3 linked regions of the Rhinolophus ferrumequinum genome follow. The protein of the gene in region 2 interacts with the protein of the main gene of each other region in a pairwise test. Links are inferred from orthologs where the notes say so. Each region holds a gene or a part of one and is shown on either strand. Other genes may lie near its edges.

The links. The genes of interacting proteins can lie anywhere in the genome.
Region 1: the proteins of NR1H2 (region 2) and NCOA6 interact in a two-hybrid assay, tested with the Homo sapiens proteins (2 studies listed by BioGRID). The link is inferred for Rhinolophus ferrumequinum from reciprocal best matches to the Homo sapiens genes NR1H2 and NCOA6.
Region 3: the proteins of NR1H2 (region 2) and MED1 interact in a two-hybrid assay, tested with the Homo sapiens proteins (2 studies listed by BioGRID and IntAct, with this or other methods). The link is inferred for Rhinolophus ferrumequinum from reciprocal best matches to the Homo sapiens genes NR1H2 and MED1.

Annotation. Positions count from the first base shown.
Region 1 is NC_046306.1:20,474,297-20,481,825, reverse strand, and holds the start of NCOA6 (nuclear receptor coactivator 6), read right to left. Parts: upstream 3,007-7,529; 5' UTR 2,874-3,006; coding exon of another isoform or gene 2,601-2,873; exon of another isoform or gene 2,593-2,600; intron 1-2,592. Other genes in the region: ejaculatory bulb-specific protein 1, read left to right, coding at 2,601-2,873, 4,700-4,782, 4,998-5,034. UniProt on the Homo sapiens protein: Nuclear receptor coactivator that directly binds nuclear receptors and stimulates the transcriptional activities in a hormone-dependent fashion. Coactivates expression in an agonist- and AF2-dependent manner.
Region 2 is NC_046298.1:45,214,528-45,221,746, reverse strand, and holds the start of NR1H2 (oxysterols receptor LXR-beta), read right to left. Parts: upstream 3,001-7,219; 5' UTR 2,873-3,000; exon of another isoform or gene 2,857-2,872; intron 2,759-2,856; 5' UTR 2,628-2,758; intron 2,021-2,627; 5' UTR 2,001-2,020; coding exon 1,958-2,000; intron 1,878-1,957; coding exon 1,746-1,877; intron 1,457-1,745; coding exon 1,166-1,456; intron 1,085-1,165; coding exon 819-1,084; intron 637-818; coding exon 457-636; intron 1-456. UniProt on the Homo sapiens protein: Nuclear receptor that exhibits a ligand-dependent transcriptional activation activity. Binds preferentially to double-stranded oligonucleotide direct repeats having the consensus half-site sequence 5'-AGGTCA-3' and 4-nt spacing (DR-4).
Region 3 is NC_046304.1:36,121,099-36,128,116, reverse strand, and holds the start of MED1 (mediator of RNA polymerase II transcription subunit 1), read left to right. Parts: upstream 1-4,012; 5' UTR 4,013-4,215; coding exon 4,216-4,240; intron 4,241-6,388; coding exon 6,389-6,495; intron 6,496-7,018. UniProt on the Homo sapiens protein: Component of the Mediator complex, a coactivator involved in the regulated transcription of nearly all RNA polymerase II-dependent genes.

The DNA.
Region 1 (7,529 bases), on a different chromosome or scaffold from region 2:
AGCAGACCCCAAAACAGACCTTGGCATCACTGACCAATATAAAATATTCAGGGGTCTATGTCATGCCTCAGGTACACAGAGTATGGGGGACCCAGGCAGAAAGACAGAGCCTAGATGGTTTTTCTCTATCGTATAGGAACTGGGATGGCAAACCAGAAGTTGAACATCCACATGCAGACACCTAGATCAGGGACTGGCAAACGTCTTTGTTAAGGGTCAGATAGTGAATATTTTAGCTTTGTGAGCTATATATTTTCTGTCACAACCACTCAACTCATCCATTGGTAGTGTCAAAGCAACCAAAGACAATATGTTCGAGTGTGCCAGTGTTCCAATAAAACTTTATTTACATAAACAGGTGGTAGGCCAGATTTGACTGATGGGCCATCGTTTGAGGACCCCTAACATAGACAGCTGTGATTTCCCTACACTCTAGGAATATTTTCCCTGCCTTTTATGTCTGCTAACACTTACCTCTGATTTCCTTAAGCAAAAACTACACCGCATTTGACAGCTTTGCAATGGTTTCCAAAAGTCTTTATGACTCTACCAAAAAACATCTTCCTTATTATCTGTGACAATTCTCACCTCATTTTCCTTTTATATTTTTTTAATCTCTTTGACAGCCACTATCCCACACTAAAAATCTGAGAAATTCCCTTTCTCATCACTCACAATGTCAATTATCAACACCTGAAAATTCTAATGCTGTTCAATGTTCAAAGCCTCTGCCTTTGTTCAAGCCCTCATTACTTCTTCCCTGCTCTCCAGTCCACCTTCCTGAAGAATATCCATTTATCTCCTAAAAATTAAACTTCATCATCCAGTCCCCTCCTTGAAGACCTTGAATGCCTATCAGCTAAGGATCCAGTTCAAACTCCTTAGCAAGGTCCTTCACAACCAGATTCCGACCAACTTTCTCAGTCTCATCTTTGACACCCCTCTCCCTCTCCTCCCTCCATCCCCCCATGGTACCCACAAGGTTAGGCCTTCCTGCATTAGAAAGACCCAGAACAAATGGATCATGTTGCTTTATATATGGATGGTATATACATATTGAATATCGAAAATCTTATTGCTATGAATGTCCTCGCAACCTTTTTGTTGAAAGTCCTTTTTGATTATATGGGAGCCCTATAATGTCTCATGACTGATTTGCATACCTTCCCTCAGAGCTCTCCCATAACCCATGTGAACTTTGAACTCTTCTCTATTCTGATCAAACTTCAATTAGCTTGATCATGATAGAGATCCTGGATCTCTACCATTGTTCAGTTTTGTTTTGTTTCTAGTTTGTGTGTGTGTGTGTGTGTGTGTGCCCCTTTGCTGTACAGTAAACACCTAGAAGAGAAGGCGCATCTCTTAAAACTTGAGAAAGTTAGAAGTCAAAAGGGCCCTGAAGATAACTTCTTTGCACAAATGGAGATGGGCTATAATAGAAATTATCAAATAGCTGGTTACCTATACATTTTTTTGTATCCCTCTGAGTCTCTGAAGTGACAAACTGATTACAGAAACAAAATAAATTAAGAGTTCTTTGATATAAACTGCCATGCTTGACTTGTTAACATTTTTCTCCCAGCTAGCAAATTCCTCTAAGGCAGGAGTATGTTGAATGAGGCAGCGACCTGAGTTCCAGTAACACCCTCTGCTACTAACTTTTAAGATCTTGAGAAGTCAACTTTACCTTTCCATGTCTCAGCTAAAATCACTACATCATCTGAAATCATTACATGATCTCTAAGGCCTCTGTCGTTTTTACACATTCATTCCTTCTTCACCATTCTTACTGGCTTCAATAACTTCTTTCTGATGACCTCCCCAGGTGACCCAGCTCTTAAAACAGTGGGCTGTCCCCTTCCAGGGAAGACACCTTGGGTCACCGCCCACAAACAGCCCGGTCCCTCCTTTTAAAGACACACACAAACTCTCCAAGTTGATGGAGGCTTTCTCTTTTTGCCAACCAGTTCCACTCTCTGCACCCCTTTTGCTGGCTAGCTCCTGCACACAACTGCAGTCTCCCTTTTTTCTCTTCCTTATCAAACTCTTCCCTTTTTGTTGCACCCCCCTCCGCCATAGAGAGTGGATAATCCTGGGGGCACCTATGTCCTCAGGCCCGTAGGAATTATACGGTCTTGTAATTCAGCCCCGCGACTCCAAGGACTGCCCCAATCTGATACCTGCGTCTGTACCCAAAGAGCCCCCATTTCTAATCAACCCCTTCCTCTTCACCCAAAGAAGTGCCACAGCCCTGACAGCCTGAACTCGGACCCCACGCCCCTCCGGGGTCCTACCTGCCCTGGGGTCCTGAACACCACCCACAGCCTAACCCAGTTCCAGGTCCTGCTCACCCAAGTCCCACAGACCCCGACCCCGGTTCCGTTTGGACCTAGTATCCCTAGTCCACGACCCTGGCCACGACCCCACGTCCGGCTCCCGCCAGTTCCTTGGACCTGGAACGCCACCCCATGCGTCTAGACCCCGGCCGGCCCTGCACTCCCTCAATGCCCCAGACCCGGCGTCCGACACCCTCTTCAACCCGGCCGGGCCTCCGCTCCCTCCAGCGCCCCCGCCCGCCGGCCCGGGGCCCGCTCCCCAACATGGCGACGGGGACACGAGCCCGGCGGGCGGGCGGGGCGGCTCCCGGCCAGGCCCGCACAGAAGCCGTGCCGCACGGCCAGCCGGCGCCATTTTCCCGCGCCAGGCCCGGGCGCCGTCTCCTTCTAGCGTCGCCAGCCGGGCCGGGACCGTGGACGCCCGGCGGGCCCACCCCTTACGGGCCAGCGTCGCCGTCACCTCACCTGAGCGCGGCCCCAGCCCTCCCGGGCGGGCCTCGGAGCACCGGCCCGGGCCGTCCGTGCCCGCGGCCCTCCGTGAGTGCGTCCGTCCGTCCTCGCGTGCGCCCGTCTATTCGGCCGTCGGCGCCCGGCCGCCAGCAGCCCGACCCGGCAGGGCCTCAGGGAGCCGGCGGGGAGGGGGATGGGCCGGACCGGGCCGGGGAGGGAGGGGGAGGGAGGGAGAGAGGGAGGGAGTGCGGGAGGGGGCGGGGCGGGGCGGACTAGAGGTGGGTGGGGCTGGTCACGTGACCAAACGTCCCCGAGCGCGCGAGGCGGAGCGCGCACCGGCTCACTTGGGTGCAGACCTTAGGGCCCAGACAGGGTGGATCTGTCTCCTGTAGCTGCAATATCGCAAGTGGCACCTGCCCCCACTTCAGAGTCACTGTGCAGCCCTATAGGTGCCCTCTGGCTGAGTGTTCTTGGGCAACTCCGTTCTCCAAGCCTCAATTGACCCATCTGAAATACGGGGATAATAATACCAAAGAGGAAATGAGGAAAGCATGGAAAGCACTTGGTACAATGCCTGACAGATAGTGTCATATGGTGATAAAGATAACCTTTAGCCTTTATTATTATTTGCCTATAAGTTCTTCTCTGTCTTTTCCCATCACCATCACCCCAGCAAGCTCAGTAGGTGCCCTCCCTGCTCCTCAAATGTAGGAAGGCCTCTCCAGTACCGGACCTGATGTCTGTCATGCAGGCCTGGATTCAAGGGCAGTCCTTGGAGTCGCGGGGCTGAATTACAAGACCGTATAATTCCTACGGGCCTGAGGACATAGGTGCCCCCAGGATTATCCACTCTCTATGGGGGAGGGGGGGTGCTACCAATTCACTCTTGGTAGCTGTGTGATTTTCTTTGTCTCTGAACCTCAGTTTCATCAGCTGTAAAATGGGAATTAAGGGTCTGTTTCTGTGATGCAGAAGCATCACAGAAGACAGAAGACGAGCAGATGGATTGTAAACTGATTGCAAAGCTCAAGAATACTGGTCTCATCTAAGAAAAGGAGTCTTTCATTCCACGAATATTTATTGAGCACACACTGTGTGCTTGACTCCCCTCCAATCTATTCTCCACCCTGCTGTCAGAGTAATGTCAGTAAGTCAGAAATCTGATCATGTCCCTCCCCTGTTTGAAACTATTTGATGGTTCCACACTGCTCTTAAGGTAAAGACCAAATAGATGTCTTACTGTTGTTCTTCCCACATCTCCAGACTTATCTCAGGGCCCTCTTCCCTTGTGTGGACTGCAACTACAGTGATCTCCTTCACATATTGCATTTCCCCCTTCTCAGGACACTGGCATATGCTGACCCTCAGCCTAAAATGCTCTCCCTGCTAGATAACTCATCAGCCCTCAGATACCAGCTCACACATTTCTTCCCCAAGAGCACCTTCCCTGACCACTCACTTCCCAGGCGGTTTCTCTTGCTTGTTCTCGATAGGATGTACTAAGTTGTTTATTCCGTCTTTACCACTGACTGGACTGTGGACTCCATAAGAAGAGAGACTTTGTCCATTTTGTTTACTTCTGTTTCCTCAGCACATAACACAGTGCCTGGCACAGAGGAGGCGCTCAATAAATATTTGTTGTAGGTATGAATCCTAGCACAAAGTGCTGGGCCCAAGAGGGCAGAGAAAAATAAAGAGAACCACACGCGGCCACAAGGGGGCACCTTAGACTTTTGAGCCTATGAAATTAACACCAAAAGGATTTACAAAAAGAGCCTGGAAAAAAAGTTTTTTAAAAGATTTTTCTTTTAACTTTTAAAAAGTGAGGTATAATTTACATAAAGCAAAATGCAAACATTTTATGTGTATACCTAATAAATTTTTGCTTATGTTCCTGTGTTACTACCACCCAGATCAAGTTACAGAAATACCAACCCAGAAAGTTTCTTTTGTTCTCTCCCACGACCCCTCCCAGTCAATATTGGCTCCCCCAAAGGTAACCATTATTCTAACTTCTAGCACCTTAGATCAATTTTGACAGTTCTTGAACTTCATATAAACATACAAGCATGTACTCTTTTGTGTTAACCTGGAAATCTGGTATATGCAATCTGACATGTATCTTTAGATAATGATACAATAAATGAATTACTTGGTTAATTAATTAATATGAAAGACCAAATGAGAAACTCTGGTTATTTTATCCTGCAGAAACAAGGGTCCTACCAGAAGCCAGGTAACAGGTTGAGATGACATCATACACACCTCCAAATCTCATGAAAGTTTCTAGAGGTAAGAAAGCTCTGAAAGATTCTACAAGATTCTCGTAGGACAACAAAAATCCAATTTAAAAATGAGCAAAGGGGGGTGGTTCTCATAAAACAACAGAAATTCAATTTAAAAATGAGCATAAGAGGGTGGCTGGTTGGGTCAGTGTTTAGAGCGCAGTGCTCATAACACCAAATTCGCTGGTTCGATTCCCACATGGGCCAGTGAGCTGTGCCCTCCACAATCAGATTGAAAACAACAACTTGACATGGAGCTGATGGGTCCTTGAAAATACTGTTCCCCAATATTCCCCAATAAAAATTTAAATAAAAATGAGCAAAGGACTTAATAGACAGTTTCCGAAGAAGACATATAAATGTCCAATAAGCACATGAAAAGGCATTCAATAGCATTAATCATTAGGGATGGCTATTTAAAAAAAAAAAACAAAAACAAAACCACAAATATTGGTGAGGTTATGGAAAAATTGGAACCCTTTCACATTGCTGGTGGGAATATAAATGGTGCCACAGCTGTGAAAAAAAAATTGGTGGTTTCACAAAAAGTTAAACACAGAATTACCATCTTTTCCAACAATTCCACTTCTGGATATTTACTCAAAAAAAGTAGAAGCAAGGACTCGAAGAGATATATGTACACCCATGATCATAGCAGCATTTTTCACCATAGGCAAAACATGAAAGCAACCCGAGTGGGTAAACTAAATGAGTTATTTATATACAATGGAATATTATTCAGCCTTAAAAAGGGCAGAAATTTTCACACATGGATATACCTTGAAGACATAATGCTAAGTGAAATAAGGAAGTCACAAAAGGACAAATATTATATAATTCCTTTTATATGAGATTCCTAGAGTAGTCAAATTCATAGAGACAGAGTAGAATAGTGATTGCCAAGCACTGGAGGGAGGGGAGAATAGAGAGTTACTGTTTAATAGGTACAGTGTTTTAGTTGGGGAAAATGAAAAAGTTCTGGAGATGGATAGTAGTGATGGTTGCACAACAATGTGAATGTATTTAATGCCACTGTGCACTTAAAAATGGTGTAAATGGCGACATTTGTGTTGTATGGATATATTTTTTGCCATGATTTAAAAAATACACATATGCCAGAACCTGAGCCACTGTCCTCATTTTTTTCACCTTGTTATCAATGTCCTTAAACTGAAGGTCATGGGTTTTTCTGGGATTAGCAAGGATGCAGGGAGCTAGGAGACAGGGGCCCACTTGGGGACCTACACATCTGATAAGTGAAAACAGCAGGTGCATAGGCAACACAAATATTTGTTGCCCACAGGAAGGTAGCAAAGGAACAAAAACAGGCCATAGACGGCACTAACAATAGCATAGTGCTTACAAGACTGGACTTTGAAGCCAAAATACCCAAATTCAGATTCTAGTGTTGCCATTTATTAGTTATGTAACTTTGGGCAAATCCAACCTTCTTGTTATATACATGAGGAAACTGGGATCAAACAGAGAAAAATGACTTGTCCAACAGAGTCCAAAGTATTTTCTCCTTTATTTTGTTTGTTTTTTAATCCTTAACGTAGTTTTTATTTTATGTCCCTAATAGACTGTACCCTTTCCCAAAGAAAGTATTTTTGTAATATCATCACCTGTAATATAACAACTTTTTTGTGCTTCAGTTGCCTCATTTGTAAGGTGCAGATAATAAGGGTACGTTACAGATTAGAGGATTAGAGGATTAAATGAATTAGTAGAGGATTAAGTGAATTAGTACTTGTAAAATGTTTAGAAGAGTACTGAGCACTTATGAGGACTCAACAAGGAGCAGATTAACAGAGGTCTCTAAGGAGGTTATCAGGCTACTCACAGTTTGTTATGAGCAAGAAAAGCAGTCCTAAGACATCCAAGATATTCTGGATTCAGATTTGGGTAAAGAAAAAGCAAATCAATTGTTCTTTGATGTGAACAATTTGATTAACATTTATTGAACTTCTACGTTTAAATGTTTGTCCAAATGGGCTTATGCTTTGTAGTAAAAAGATTGATAGTGGATACTTGAACCACATCTTTAACCATCTAGAGAGCATCACCATTTTACTCTCTGCAGGGTTCATCACAACATTTCCAAACGACAAGATAACCACGTTTAGTTGGACAAATTGTGTCTTTCAGGAGGACATATCTAAGTGGGTGCCATTCACTGGTAGACATTATAATTATAAATTTATTGTGATAATTTACCAGCAGATGGCAGTAAAGTATCTTTTATTATAAAATCAGCTCAACAATTTTCAGACAATAAGAAATAAAGTACTTTGAAGAGGGGTCTACTTTATATAAAGTACTTTGTATAAAGGCTTCTACTTTGTATAACGGCTTAATATGGGCTTACTCTTAGGAACAAAAGATTGAAAAGTAGAAATAGAGTGTTAACAACACAATTGAAAAAAAATTAAAGAGTATCAAGAAGTGACCCCCCCCA
Region 2 (7,219 bases):
CACAGCTCCCTCCACTTGGGACACTCTCCCCAGGTGGTTACGAGGCACAGGGGCAGTATTTTTGCCTGTTTTGTTCTCTGTCATGTGCCCAGCACTTGGAGTATAGCCTGGCACACACTAGTCACTCAAACCTTATTTATTACCAATGTTTTAGTTTAAATGTCAACTCCTCTAAAGAGCCTTTTTGTCACGTTCTCTAAACTGTGTCTCTTCAGCCCAATTCTCAGTTATTCTCAGCCTCAGCCCGTTTCTTTTCTCTCTCTGGCCCTTTGGAGACTCTGATTATCTTGTTTAGTATTTTGACAGGCCCCCGGAGAATATCATCCCCATAAGGGCAAGGTCTGGAGAGGCCTTGCTCATCACTGTGCTACCAGCATCCATCCTCAGGCTCATTCCTGGGGTTCCTTGAGGGCAGAAAGGAAGAGGCTTGCTGAGGGTGGGTGGCCTGGCCATTACCTCAATGGTAGATGCCTTCAGGAGCGCAATCTGGTCCTCACGGCCCAGCTGTAGGAAGCCGGGCACCTGCTTGGCGAAGTCCACAATCTCCTGGACCGAGATGATGGCCAGCTCCGTGAAGTGGGCGAAACGCTGTTGGCGGGCATCGCGGGACTGGGGATCTGCGCCCAGGGGCCAAGGCTAGGACATAGGGGTCCAGGATCACTCTCAGGACTCCTCCCATAAGCCCAAGGCCATGGGGGCACAGTGAGGCAAAGCCTGCACCCCAAAAGACCCTCCTCTCCAAGCCCCTGCCCTCTGGAGCCCCATTCCCTCCCCATCCCAGGCCCATAACCCCCTCACGGCCGAGGAAGGGGCAGTACCGTGACTTTGGGCTGATCAGAGAAGGAGCGTTTGTTGCACTGTAGCTGGGCTGCCACCAACTGCTGGATCATTAGTTCCTGAGCAGCTGTTAACTGGACACCCTCGCCTTCCCCTGAGCCCTGGCCACCCCCGTCAGACCCTCCAGGGGAGGCCCCAGGCCCAGAGGCTGAGCTGCTGCTGACCCCCGGCCCTACGGGTTGCTGCTGCTGCTGTTGCTGTTGCTTCCGAATCTTCTTCTTCCGGATCTGTTCTTCAGAGAGGACGCCTGTTGGGGAGACACAGGCCTCAGCAGAGGCCCGAGAGCTGGGCAAGGCCAGGGTGGAACTGCTCCCTCCCTGACACTCACACTGCTCCCTCATCCCGGCCTCCTTGCACTTGCGCAGCCGGCACTGCTGGCACTTGCGTCGCATGAAGGCGTCCATCTGGCAGGTTCCACCACCACGGCAGGTGTAGCGCCCGGCCCCACCTCGGACCACACTGCGTCGGAAGAAGCCCTTGCAGCCTTCGCAGCTGAGCACATTGTAGTGGAAGCCAGACGCCTTGTCCCCGCACACCCGGCACAGCTCGTGGCCCAGCATCTTTGGAGCCGGGCCCTTCTTTCGCTTGCGCTCTGGCTCCTCTGCTGGGTCTGGGATGACTGGAGTGGGTGGAAAAAAGCCATGAGACAGAGCCACGGAAAGAAACAGCAGCCAGAGAACAGGCCCGTGAGAGATCAGAGACAAGGAGCCAGAGTACAGAGGGTGACCCAGGGAGATAGCAATTCAGAGGGAAAGATGTGTATGTCAGTGAACTCCAAAGAGGAACAGGAGAAAAGAAGTTAACAAGAAACCGGGGCCGCCGGTCCTCATTTCTGATCTTTCTCCCTTCCTGGATCCTCCCCCAGCCCCGCATACCCACTCCCAGCCCATCTCTGGACCCCGTCTCACCCACGCTGCAGGCTGAGCCGGCCCCATCAGTGCCTGGGACATCAGGATCTGGACCCCCAGGCCACGGCTCAGGACGCTCCTCCTTTACAACGGGTTTAGAAGAGGGGGCGCTGGGCTGAGGGGGGACATTTCCTGGGAGAGGGAGTCACAGTGAGTTTCTCCTGACAAGTGTGTGATGGTGCGGTGGACTGAGCTGGGAAGGGCTCACTCACCTGGCAAGGGGGTATCCTGGGAACTTGTGGTGGGGGTGGACATGGTGGGGGTCACGGAGCAGCCTGCAAAATACAATGGGTCTGAGAGTCTGTGGGGCTAGGGAAGTTCAGGTGAGGTCAGCCACAGGTCTTGAAGGGGTCACCTGTTTCTTCCATCTCTCTCAGGCTCCTTCCTTACTGCATATAGACCTCACCCCAAACCCCTGCCAGTCTACAAAGGCTTCCAATTCTAAAAGGGTCCCCCCCCAACTTCTGATCCAAAACAACCTTTTGCATGACCTCAAACCCCGCCCCTCCTTTAAGTTGTGTCTGATCCAGATACCTTCCACAGGCTCTTTCAAGGTACTGCCCCTTCTGCTTCAGTCTGGCTCCACCCTTACTTCCTCCTTTCCACTGTTTCATCCCACCTACTCTTACTACATCCCACCTCTACGCGAAAGCAAACCTATTATAACTCATTTTGACCCCACCTCCTACTATTATGCTCCGCCCCCATCTTCTCCACCTAGGCTCCGACCAATCCCTTCCACGTTCCACTCTGACTCCTCCCACAATGCGCTTCCCCATCACTTTGCTCTGCTCCATCAGCACCTCTCCCCTCCAGGTCCCGCCCCATCTCCTCCCATTATGCCCCGCCTCCACCTCCTCCCACCATGCTCCGCCCCCACACCTCGCTCCAGGTCCCGCCCCTCTCCGAACACCAGTGGGGGGCGGGGCTCATGGCTGCGCGCGAGGGTCTCGTGGGCAGTCTCTCGCGGGGTCTCCTCCCGTTTCCCTGGAAACAGTCGGGGGAGACGCGAGCTATGGAGGGGAGGGAGAAGAAGGAGAGAAGGGGCTCAGCGGAGCAGCGCGGGGAACTCCGAGAGGCTCCGGGCCGGGCTCCTCCCGCGTCTCCTCACACTCGGGTGCACCTGCCTCCGTCCCCTTGCTCTGCTTCTCCTCCTTCTCCTCTGTATCCCCTGGCACGCTGCCGCCGCTCGGGTCCCCTCAAAAGTAACTTCGCCACTTCTTCCGGCAACCCCACTGTGCGTCACTTCCTGAAAGGGGCGGAGATTCAGGGGTGACAGACTTCCGGTCCGCCTAGGACTAACCTAGTCGGCTGCCCCGCACGGAAGTCGTATACCCGCCGGAAGTTTATCATTGGGTGTAGCTCCCTTGGGGGCCTGCAGAAGAATTCCGGACTCATTCGCCCTATCGTGGCCAGATCCAAACTTTCCCTCCTGGCACTATGTGTTTTTATGGGCTCCCAGCAAGATTTATTTGGCATAAGTCTCCCCAGCTATAGTTCCTTTTCGCATTGGGCTGATTGAAAGCACGTTTGTCCTTTTTTGATTGTTAGGAGATTTCTGATTTTGGAGGTGCTCTACTTGTTAGTTTTAAATAAGTTAAATTGCAAACCTAGACCCAGAATAAAAATATTTTAAAAATAACTTGGTAATAGGAAGAATTTCTTTTTAAAGCGTAGCCTTACCAAAAAGATGCAACTAATAGCTTTTAAAAAATACTTTTTAAAAAATGTGTTTAAGTATTTTTTTCCAGGACCCATGAGCTCCAAGTCTTGTAGTTGTTTCAATCTGGTTGTGGAGGACGCAGCTCACAGTGGCCCATGTGGGGATTGAACCGGCAACCTTGTTAAGAGCACTGTGCTCTAACCAAGTGAGCTAACCAGCCACCCCAAGTAAGAGCTTTTAAAGAAAACTCAGAATACTTATATGGGTAGAAGATGGAAATTGTTCCAAAGTCTTGATGATGATAATCAGATTATAGCGAGCATATACACATTGTTTTAAAATGGGAATACAATATATGATCCATGCTTTTTGTAGCTTGTTTTGTCCATTCAGGCATGGCCTTGAAGCTGTGGAATTTCCAGCTGAGGGTGTTACCAATAAAAACGAGTGGTTAACGTGGGCATGGGGGGGATGGCTGAACCAGGGGCTCTGCTACTTTCTCGCTGTGTGATGTTGAGCCAAGCTATTTACCCTCCCCATGCCTCAGTTTCTTCATCTGTAAATTGGGAACAACAATTCATTGCATTGTCATTATAATTAAATGAAGTAAAAACTATGAACTGGGCCAGGCTCAAACAAGGAACCCAACATGTGGAAGCTATGTTTATTCCTGCAGATGTTCAAGTTGTTTTTAACTTTGTTAGAACAGTGCAAAAGGCTGAAATAGACTGAAGATGAATTGCAACAGTTTGGGGGCAAGTCATGTCACTCTCAGCCTCAATTACCTACCTGTAAAATGGGGGAAAATATTTGAATTTCTTATCAAAGGTGCGAAGATTCAGGAAGAGCAGTACCTGGCATATCTAAGCATCCAGTCAGTTTTGTTATCTGAACCTAATTGCAGACCACTGTTCTCATTTATAACTCACCTAATAACCCTATTTTTTAGTAACAGCTTTACTGACATAAAATTCACATACCCATACAATTCACCCATTTTCAATGTACAATTCAATAGGTTTTAGTATATTCATGGAATTGTTGCAACCAACACCACAATTTATAACACTTTTGTCACCACCCCAAAAAAGAAGCCCCATGCCCACTAACAGTCACCCTCACTTATCCCATCATCTGAGTCCTAGGCAACCATTAATCTACTTTCTGTCTGTATGGGTTTGCCTATTCTGGACATTTCCTATAAATGGAATCTTAGACTATATGTCCTTCAGTGTCTGGCTTCTTTCACTTAGCATGATGTTTTCAAGGTTCATCTACATTGTAGGATGTATTAGTACTTCATTTCTGTTGTGGCTGAATGCTATTCTATTGTGTGGATAGACCATATTTTATTAATTCATCAGTTGATGGACATTTGGGTTATTTCTATTCTTGCCTAAAGTGTTGCTATGAACATTCAAACACGAGTTTTTGTGTAGTTATCTGTTTCCATTTCTCTTGGGTATATACCTAGGAGTTGAATTGCTGGGTCATATGGTCACTCCATGTTTAACTTTTTGAGGAATGGCCAGACTGCACACATCATTTTACATTCTCACCAGCAATATGCAAGGATTTCAACTTCTCTACATCCTTACCAACACTTGTTATTATCTGCATTTTTAAAAAATTTATTGGGGTGACAATTGTTAGTAAAATTACATAGATTTCAGGTGTACAATTTTGTATTACATCATCTATAAATCCCATAGTGTGTTCACCACCCAGAGTCAGTTCTCCTTCCATCACCATATATTTGATCCCCCTTACCCTCATCTCCCACCCCCCAATCCCCTTACCCTCTGGTAACCACTAAACTATTGTCTGTGTCTATGAGTTTTTATTTCTAATTTGTTTGTCTTGTCCTTTTGTTGTTTTTGGTTTATATATCACATATCAGTGAAATCATATGGTTCTCTGCTTTTTCTGTCTGACTTATTTCACTGCATTTTTTATTATAGCTATTCTAGTGGGTGCAAAGCGATATTTCATTGTGGTTTTAATTTGCATTCTGATACCCAATTCTATTTCTTTTAATCATAAATAATTTGTAACATGTAATTCTGCTTTTACTATTCTGAAGTGAAATACAGAGATGATACAGCTGAACTATGACCCCAACAACAAAATAGCATCTTACTTCACCAACTGCAATACAAAAGATGAAAAATAGAAGCTAACTTGTAATAAAATCATATGTGCTTCAACATAGGTACATGAAAGACACAATATGGCAGCTAGCTCTTACTTCAAAATATAGAATTACTGTGAATTTGAAAGCTACAGTGCAGTCTGACACAGGACTGTTGTATGAACTCATATGCCTTAGACAGCATGGGTGATGTGATGTTTTCCAAAATTGTGGCAAAGTCTTAATATAAGTTATCAGTAAGATTGGGCAGGAATAATTTAGGCATATTTAAAAAGCAACAAGGAAGTTAGGGTGGCTAGAGTGGAGAGGGGTCAGGGGAGAGTGCTAGATAAGATCATAGAGGGAGCACGGTTAGATAATGAGGTCTTGTGGGCCACACTTGTCCAACACCGGCTAAGCATTCACAAAAAACGGTCCCTTTCCCTTGGTGACACAAATGACTACATTTCCCAGCATCCCTTGCAGCTACATGCCATTCTGGCCAATGGAAGGAGAGCAAAAGCAATAGATCACCGCGAGGGAAAGCAAGGCATCTGGGCTGATTCCAAGGTGTTTGGAACCTCAAGACCGGGGTTCAACTTCCCACTGAGTACACCAGGGCTGTTCCTTCCCCCAACCTCACACCTCAGTTTCCCCCTTCTATAAAATGTGGACAATAATTCCTCTTTTATAAGGTTGCTAGGCAATTAAATAAAATGGTGGACTGAAAAATCTAGTAATCTTTATCCAGTCGTGAGATTGTGCTGAATGAATTTGGAGACCCAAAAAGCAGTCAGGCGTGAGCCTTAGGTTGAGGGCCTTTTAGTCTGATGGTGGAAGTGGACCTGGTCACAAACCACTTTGTGACAAAATAGTGACGATTGGGTCCCATTTGCTGATTGTATTTAGAAGACATCTCCCAGCCTCCTTGGGCAGGTGGCAGTCAGGCAGGAAGCATTTACTTGGCTTCTCTTCCCATGGAGTCAGTATTCTGGTCAGTGGGAACCTCAGGGGCAAAAGCAGGGAGGCTTGAAATGTGTTCCAGGATTTCAGCTCAAGAAACTGGGGAGGTAAAGTTTAAAAGTGAAATATTAACAGGAAAAATTGCTACCCTGGAGAAGGTGCTTAAAAAGTACTTGTTGGATGTCAGGAAATTAAGTTGAACTAAGAGACTGGTTCTTCATGGTTACAAGAAAGCTCACCAAATATTATTGCCAATGGAAAAACGTTGTGCGTAGCGTCAACCATTTTCATAGCGTCTATACTAATTTTTTAAGATTTTCAGGAAGTGTATATTGAAATTTCTGTGAAAAAACAAATGTAACTATTATCAGAATTCATGTAAAACAGGCTGATCAGAAAATATTTTCTCCATACTAAATAGCGGATAATCACAAACCTTTACATTTACATCTGTTAGGACCATGGTTCATAAAGTTTGAATAAGTCATAAACTAGGACTCCGAAAAAGAAACTCATATGGAGAGTCGGGAAAGAACAGATATTGACTGGGAAACTAGGCCCACACCACCACCGTGTGGCCATTTTGGAATTTGCAGGCTGGGTCTGGATGATGCAGAATCCGGTGCGGAGATTCTGAGGAGTCAAGACTGAGGATTCGAACTGTTGAGACAGAGGAGGGGGAGTTGTAGTGAGAGTTACTGTAGAGAAACTGACTCT
Region 3 (7,018 bases), on a different chromosome or scaffold from region 2:
TTGGGCCAGAAAGAGTAAATAGGATTTGTATATGCAAAGATGGGAAGATCAACCAGTAAATTAGGAGTCAGAAAACATTCTGAATGAAGGTAGAAGAATCCACTTTCAAAATCATTCCCTGAAAATGTTCCTGTTGCTTTGGTTACATGGGTACTAATAAAAAGTTTTTACTTGAACGTTTAAGTCCATAAATCTTGAATACAAATGAAAAAGACCAAGCTTTTCATATCAACTTTTTAATTATCTATGGAAATAGCAAAATTAATGCTATCAAGAAAAAAGAAAAAAAATAGAGGATAGAATTAAGTACTGAAACTCAGGTGTGGTATCTCCCCAACATTGCTGCAAGAGGGCCTGGATGTAAAGGTTCCCCCAAGTGTCTGACATGATGGCAGCTGGCATGAGACTAAATAGGCCAATTAGATGTGACTGGCCCACCTTATTAAATATTGGTCTGAGTTCAGCAAAACTACTCTGATTTTTTTTCTAACTTTTAATTGAGATGAAGGTTTTGACCCAGATACACCCACATTCATAGTAAAATGGAAAAGTGGAAGGAATCATGGTCATGTGTCAAATAAAATCTTGAAAAAGAAAATCATCCAAATTAAACAGCATTATTTATAGTTATAAAGATTAATTATCTGTTGCCTATTGAAGCAGACTAGAGATCCCTAATGAATAAATTAAGCTTTTTCTGAATTTTTATAATCTCTTATATTTCTGTAGCACTTTTTAATTTTCTACAAGACTCGTTTAAGTCTGTCAATAAATATCAGCTGAACAAGGAAATAACCTGGTGAGGTGGCCAGGATGGGTGTTATATGCATCTACTAATGGATGAAACAGACTCAGAAGGAATTGGAGCTTGTTTACACCAAGACTAGTTAGTGCCAGAAACAGGGACAGCTCTCTTTCTTTAAACCTAGGCTAATACTCTATTGCACTAAACTTTCTCCTTTTGGTGGATAAAATTCTGCTCTAATGTAATTATATCTCAATACAGCTGGGAAAAAATCTATTCTAGGAAATCTCAGATTCTGTTTAAATTTTAAAATACAAAATCTACTCTAAACTACACACACTGATTGGCCCAACAACTGGTGAGAATAGTGCTTTTGTGTAAGTGTTGCTTCACTCTACAGAAAACTTTGAACTGAGAAATTCCAAAACTGCTTGATTTGCTTTATTTGCATGACCTGTCAGGGCAGGGAGTCAGGGCAACTGTATGAACCTCAAGATGATCAGTCAGGTGATGATTACACTTTCCCTGTAAATTCCCACAGCAGGTCAGAAAGCTTCTCTTTAGCCTGTACACAAGAGAAAATATTTAAAGTTACAGTAACTTCTTATCCCCACACAGACCAATTTGTTAGTTTAGATTTTAGGTTTAAAGAGTTTAGTCTCCCTCAAAGCTTAGTCATTTAAAATGTACGCATTGTCTTCTTCTTGCCACGTAGGAAGATTGTTCCTATGTGCACCTTTTATGCTTTTTTGTATTGAATGGTATCTTTTACTTGAGTACAAATTTTACATGTCATTTCAGATGAGAAATGATAACTTCTATTCTGTGACCAAAATTTGGTCAAGTTTACTCTATTTTCAAGCTTTATAAGGTTTAAAATTTTCTAGCTACACTTAATACAGACATTATTGTTTATCTGTACAGAGAGTTTCCATGAGGAAGTATAGCTGTGTATCTAACGTTAATACTTTGGGCATAATAATAAATTAACAAAAATTCTTTTGAGTACCCATGAATATAGTAACCAATCAGATTTTCAGAACTCTAAATCAAATGAGTCAAATAAGGGTTGGGGCTGCTTTTTCATGTTTATATTACTAGTTCCTAATACACAAGTATTAGGACTCCATAGATGCTTGTTGAATGAAGAGCACTTTGACAACAGAAAAGGAAACGGAATTTTAAATATGAATTATCTTTGAAAATTCTCACTTCGATAAATGCTCTCTGTACTTCATCAATTTTAAGGTTATTAGATTTACATTATATAATAATTTTGGAACATACTTTTATACTAAAAAATATTTGTTGATTTTCTGAAATTCAAATTTAAGTGTTTTGTTATTTTATCTGGAGACCCTCTCTATTTATCCCAACAATATGTATTGAGTCTCTGACTTGTGTCAGGAGCTGGGCTTGGCAATGTCAGTAGATAGCAGTGAAAGAAACAGACCCAGTGCAAGCCTTCCTGGAGTTGACAGTCCAGGAGGGAAGACAGGCATTGAACAAATTATGGACTTAATTAATTTTGATGGTTTAAGTATTATTAAAGAGATAATATAACAGGGGACCTGATTAAGTCAGGGGTTAGAAAAGGCTTGCTTCTCTGCTCTAGAGGAAGAGACATTTAAATTGAAATCTGAATAAGAGGGTCTTAGTGAGGTGAAGACAGCAGAGGAGGCCCTCCTAGCAGTTAAGGAGAGGAGTGTAGGAATTTTCTGCACATAAAAGAAGGCGAATGTGGCTGGGGGAATTGGCAAGGGGAGCAGAGCTGGGTCTAGCAAGGCTTTGCAAGCCCAGTAAAAGATTTGCCTAACTAAGCCTAGGTACAGTGCTAGATAATGGGGTCCTAAAAATGAGGGGAAATTCCTGCCCCAAGAAACTGTGTAGTGACTCAAAGGAATGGGGTAAGAGGAATAGACAAGCAATACATCTGAATTCTACTTTCAAGGAGCATGGTTATATATAACTTTGTGGTGACAAACATGTTTCCAGACATTTCCAGATTTATTCTCAATAAATTTACGCTGCTGTGCCTGCTCACCTGAACTGTAGTTATCTGCTGGCATGGCTTTAGGAGAACGTTTGCTTAACATTTTTGAAATGTACCGTGTTTCCCCCAAAATAAGACCTAGCCAGACCATCGGACAATCAGCTCTAATGCGTCTTTTAGAGCAAAAATTAATATAAGACCCAGTCTTATTTTACTATAAGATCAGGTCTTTATAATATAATATGATATGATATATGATATGATAAACATAATATGATATAATACCAGGTCTTATATTAATTTTTGCTCCAAAAGACACATTAGAGCTGTTTGTTCGGCTAGGTCTTATTTTCAGAGAAATAGGATAGGTAAAGTCTGAGATGTGGCTAGTAGAAATCCATTCTTAATATATTTGCCACAAACTAGGTAAAAATCAAACTTTTCACCAGTTATTTTCAAGGATTTGTATGGAAAAAGAACTTAAAAAAAAAAAGTAACCTTAACTATGTTAAGAACTTTTACCCAGTGTTAGCACTATTGTATTTTAGCCTGGTTCTTCAGTTCCAGTGGCCATGAACTTCTCGGCATCACTCCAAATTTCTCTTTATGAGGACTTATTGATACAAGAAATATGATTACACATTGTGACTTGTGGTGCAGAATACAAACTAAACTGCTTGTTTTCACTACGATTACAAAAAAGGACACAATCAATTATGAACACCTTTGGGACCCTAAGTATAATTAATAACATCTTATGCTATAAGGTTGAAAACAAGTTTACCTTAATCCAAAATCTCCTAGATCTTCAAAAATACTGTAATTGCTCAAAAAATACTTCTGAAATTAAAAAAAAAAAAAAAGGAAATGGGAATTAAGTGTACTGGACTGGGGTGGAACGTCGTGTTACAAAGGGCCAATATCTTTTTTATGGCATAATTATTCCATCTAGTATCCCAAGAAAGCGTATTATCTTTAATAAAACATCTCTAATACCAATATTCTTCGAAAACTTAGTCTTTCAGTAAAGAGAGCCGGGGATTTTAATTTGCGAACTGCTTAAATGCCAAAATGAAATGCCGGTTTCATAAGAGGAACCGATCACAACCAACGGGAAAGTACCATACCTACCGCAGTAAACCTAAGATAACCTAAAGCCACGAGAAAGCTATGTTGGGAGAATCTCGCGAGAAGTACCGCATTAACCATTTTTCGCGATAGTTTGGTGCCCAGCCCTTTTCCTCTCTCGCAGGATCACGGTTAATCTCGCGATCTTTGGGAAGTTCCGTTGAGGAAGATGGCGGCGGCCGCGAGCACCCTTCTCTTCTTGCCGCCAGGGACTTCAGACTGAACCTTCCCGGGAAGAGTGGGGACTGCTGGTGCCCCGCGTCCCGGGAGCCCGAACCAACTTGATTCCGCCGGTATTGGTGGGGAAGGGCTTATCCTCTTGTGTAGGACTCAGGCCTTCCCCGTCAGGATGAAGGCTCAGGGGGAAACCGAGGGTGAGTGACTGAAGGGGAAAGCAGGGGGCGGGACACAGCTGGGGAAGCCAATCTGTGAGAGGAGCTGGGGGTCCGATGCCTTCGCCGGGGCCACTCTCCCGACGGCGCCGAGTCCCGAAGGCGGGATTTGTGTGAGTTTCAGATTCTGACTGTGCCTTCCCTGGTGATCCAAAGCTCCGACTTTGGGGTGATGGGGGCTCCCAACTTCTGTGAAGGTTTCCTGTTGAGATAGGGGCAATCATTTGGGCCTCAGGACATTTTTATCCTAAAGTTATGGGAGACCAGGCGAGTGAATCTAATACCTGCTTACACCTCTGTTCCAGAAGAGACATCTGAATAAATGACATAATAATAAGAGCTATTCGTTCAAGTACTGGAGGATGTTTTGGCATGAATGAAATGATTAGGTCCTTATGATATTAAAAGCCAACAGTTCCCTAGAATGTCAGTGTTCAGATCTTGTGCTATTGTATATTTTTTTAAAAAGGCGTTGAACTTCATTCTTTCAATGGCTGGGCTAACTCAGAACTGCTGGAAAACAACTTTTCTATGGAATCTTACTTAATTTTCTAAAGTTCTACACTCCAGTTTAAATGCTTCTTTAGCATTTTGGACATAGTTGTAGTAATACAGTTCACTGTATTTTTCACTTGTCTTCTCCACTTTACTCTGAGCTTCGTATTATAGAATAGGGACTTTGCCTTACTCATCATTCATTGTATAGTCGCTGGCACATAAGTAGTTGCTCAAAAAAAAGTTTGATTTGAGCATTCATATAAAGATATGTATCAGGCTTCTCAAGAAAAGAATGGGGAATGTGTTTTGAAGGAGAGGAAGAAGGTTTACTCTTTGGGTGCAGAGGAATGACAGTGTAAAATGGAAACTCAATGAGGCAGGAATCTTGTCTAGTTTGCTCACTGCTGTATCCCCAGCACGTAAAATAGTGCTTGAGTGAATGAGTCTTGAAAGTGGGAATAGCCAGAAATGTGTCCAGAACTGTAAACTGGCTGCAACAGCTCAAAAACCAGTTTTTTGGATGAGGAAATTGGAGGAAGGAGTTTGAATTTTGATTTAGAAGGTGTCACTGCCTCAACTCTGATTTCTGATATTCTGTTGGTCTTTCAATGACACCTTTTCTGTAACATCCCTGCAACTAACTTTTTCTCCTTTGAATTTCAATTAATAATGTGCGTCTGTTTTTAAGAGCATATCCCATTTTGCTTTGTTTGAGGTTATTTCCACATAAACTTATCCAGACCCCTTCACACATGTCATTTCAGGGATATTGTGTGTTTTTGCATTGCCAGTGGTCTCTACCATGTTTCCCTGAAAATAAGACCTAACCGGAAAATAAGCCCTAGCATGATTTTTCAGGATGACATCCCCTGAACATAAGCCCTAATGCGTCTTTTGGAGCAAAAATTAATACAAGACCCAGTCTAATTTTCAGGGAAACACGGTATTACAGGTCCTTGCTCATTCTAAGCAGTAGAAGAATTAGAGGAGGGTTTAAAGGCATAGGAGTTTCGTTCACACAGTTCAGGAGCCAGTTTTTTCTACTTTTCTCTTACCTCTGCTGGAAACTCATCCTTTAGACATTTACCTCTTCCCTGTCCATATAGATTTAGTTTGAATTCAAATAGGAGAAATCTGAATGACAAAGCATGTTTTCTTGATAATACTTAGAAATTGATCTCTTAAAATTATGTAAAAAATTAAGAAAGTCTGTATTTTCACATTGAAAATCAATTAACCATAGTAAGGCCATGTTCAAATATATACTCTATATGTATCACGCAAGGGATTTCATGCATATCATGAAATGATTTTGCCACTAAATTGTAGTCTTGATCCTGAAACATGATTAGAGATGAGGTTTTTTGTTGTTGTTTGTTTGTGTGTTTTTTTGGTTCCCATTCAAAGTTTGAATAGAAAGCAGTTCCAGTCTATGGTATTTATTAGATTAGACTCATAATTTGTGTGTCTTCTTGTCATTAAAAATAAATTCTTTGTATGTTTCCAAGTAAATGATACTGAAAAATATTTTAACTAAGTTCTTACCAGGATCATGTATGGGGATTTCATTTGCAAGAAAAACTGGAAGTTCTTGAAAGAGTTTCTAACGATGTCTTCTGATTCATATTGTAGAATCGGAAAAGCTGAGTAAGATGAGTTCTCTCTTGGAACGGCTCCATGCAAAATTTAACCAAAATAGACCTTGGAGTGAAACCTTTAAGCTTGTGCGTCAAGTCATGGTGAGTGAGGATTGTGGTGTGTGCTTAGATAATTATTTAATAAGCTCAGCTTCCTGTGTAGACTTTTCCAAACTAGTTGTTATAGTGTGTCTTTAATTTTATTTATCATAAAGTTGATAGCCACCCCTACCCAGGTGTTTTAAGAGTCTACTTAAGGAGATATATTTATAAAATTGTGTTAATCATGAGTTATAGTGCACTGGTGTACTGTAGGCAAAGGTGCTAAGAAATACACCAATAAGAGACACACATGATAGACTGGTATAGAGACATTTATTGTTCACTTCTTGTCAAGCTCCTTGTTACTAATGTAATAGTATTTACATTGCGTCTATGCTGGGAGTAGAGTTTGCAGTTCATTCTGAATTAGTTTCACCTTTTCACTCTGTCAGCCTTTTTCCACAGTACTGCTCCTTCCTGAGTCATTCAACAGTATGGTGAGCTCTTAGTTAAGTGGACGACGGGGTTGAGCATGGCTGGATGTTAAACGTTCATCCATATGATTCCACTGGTGGTCAAGTGA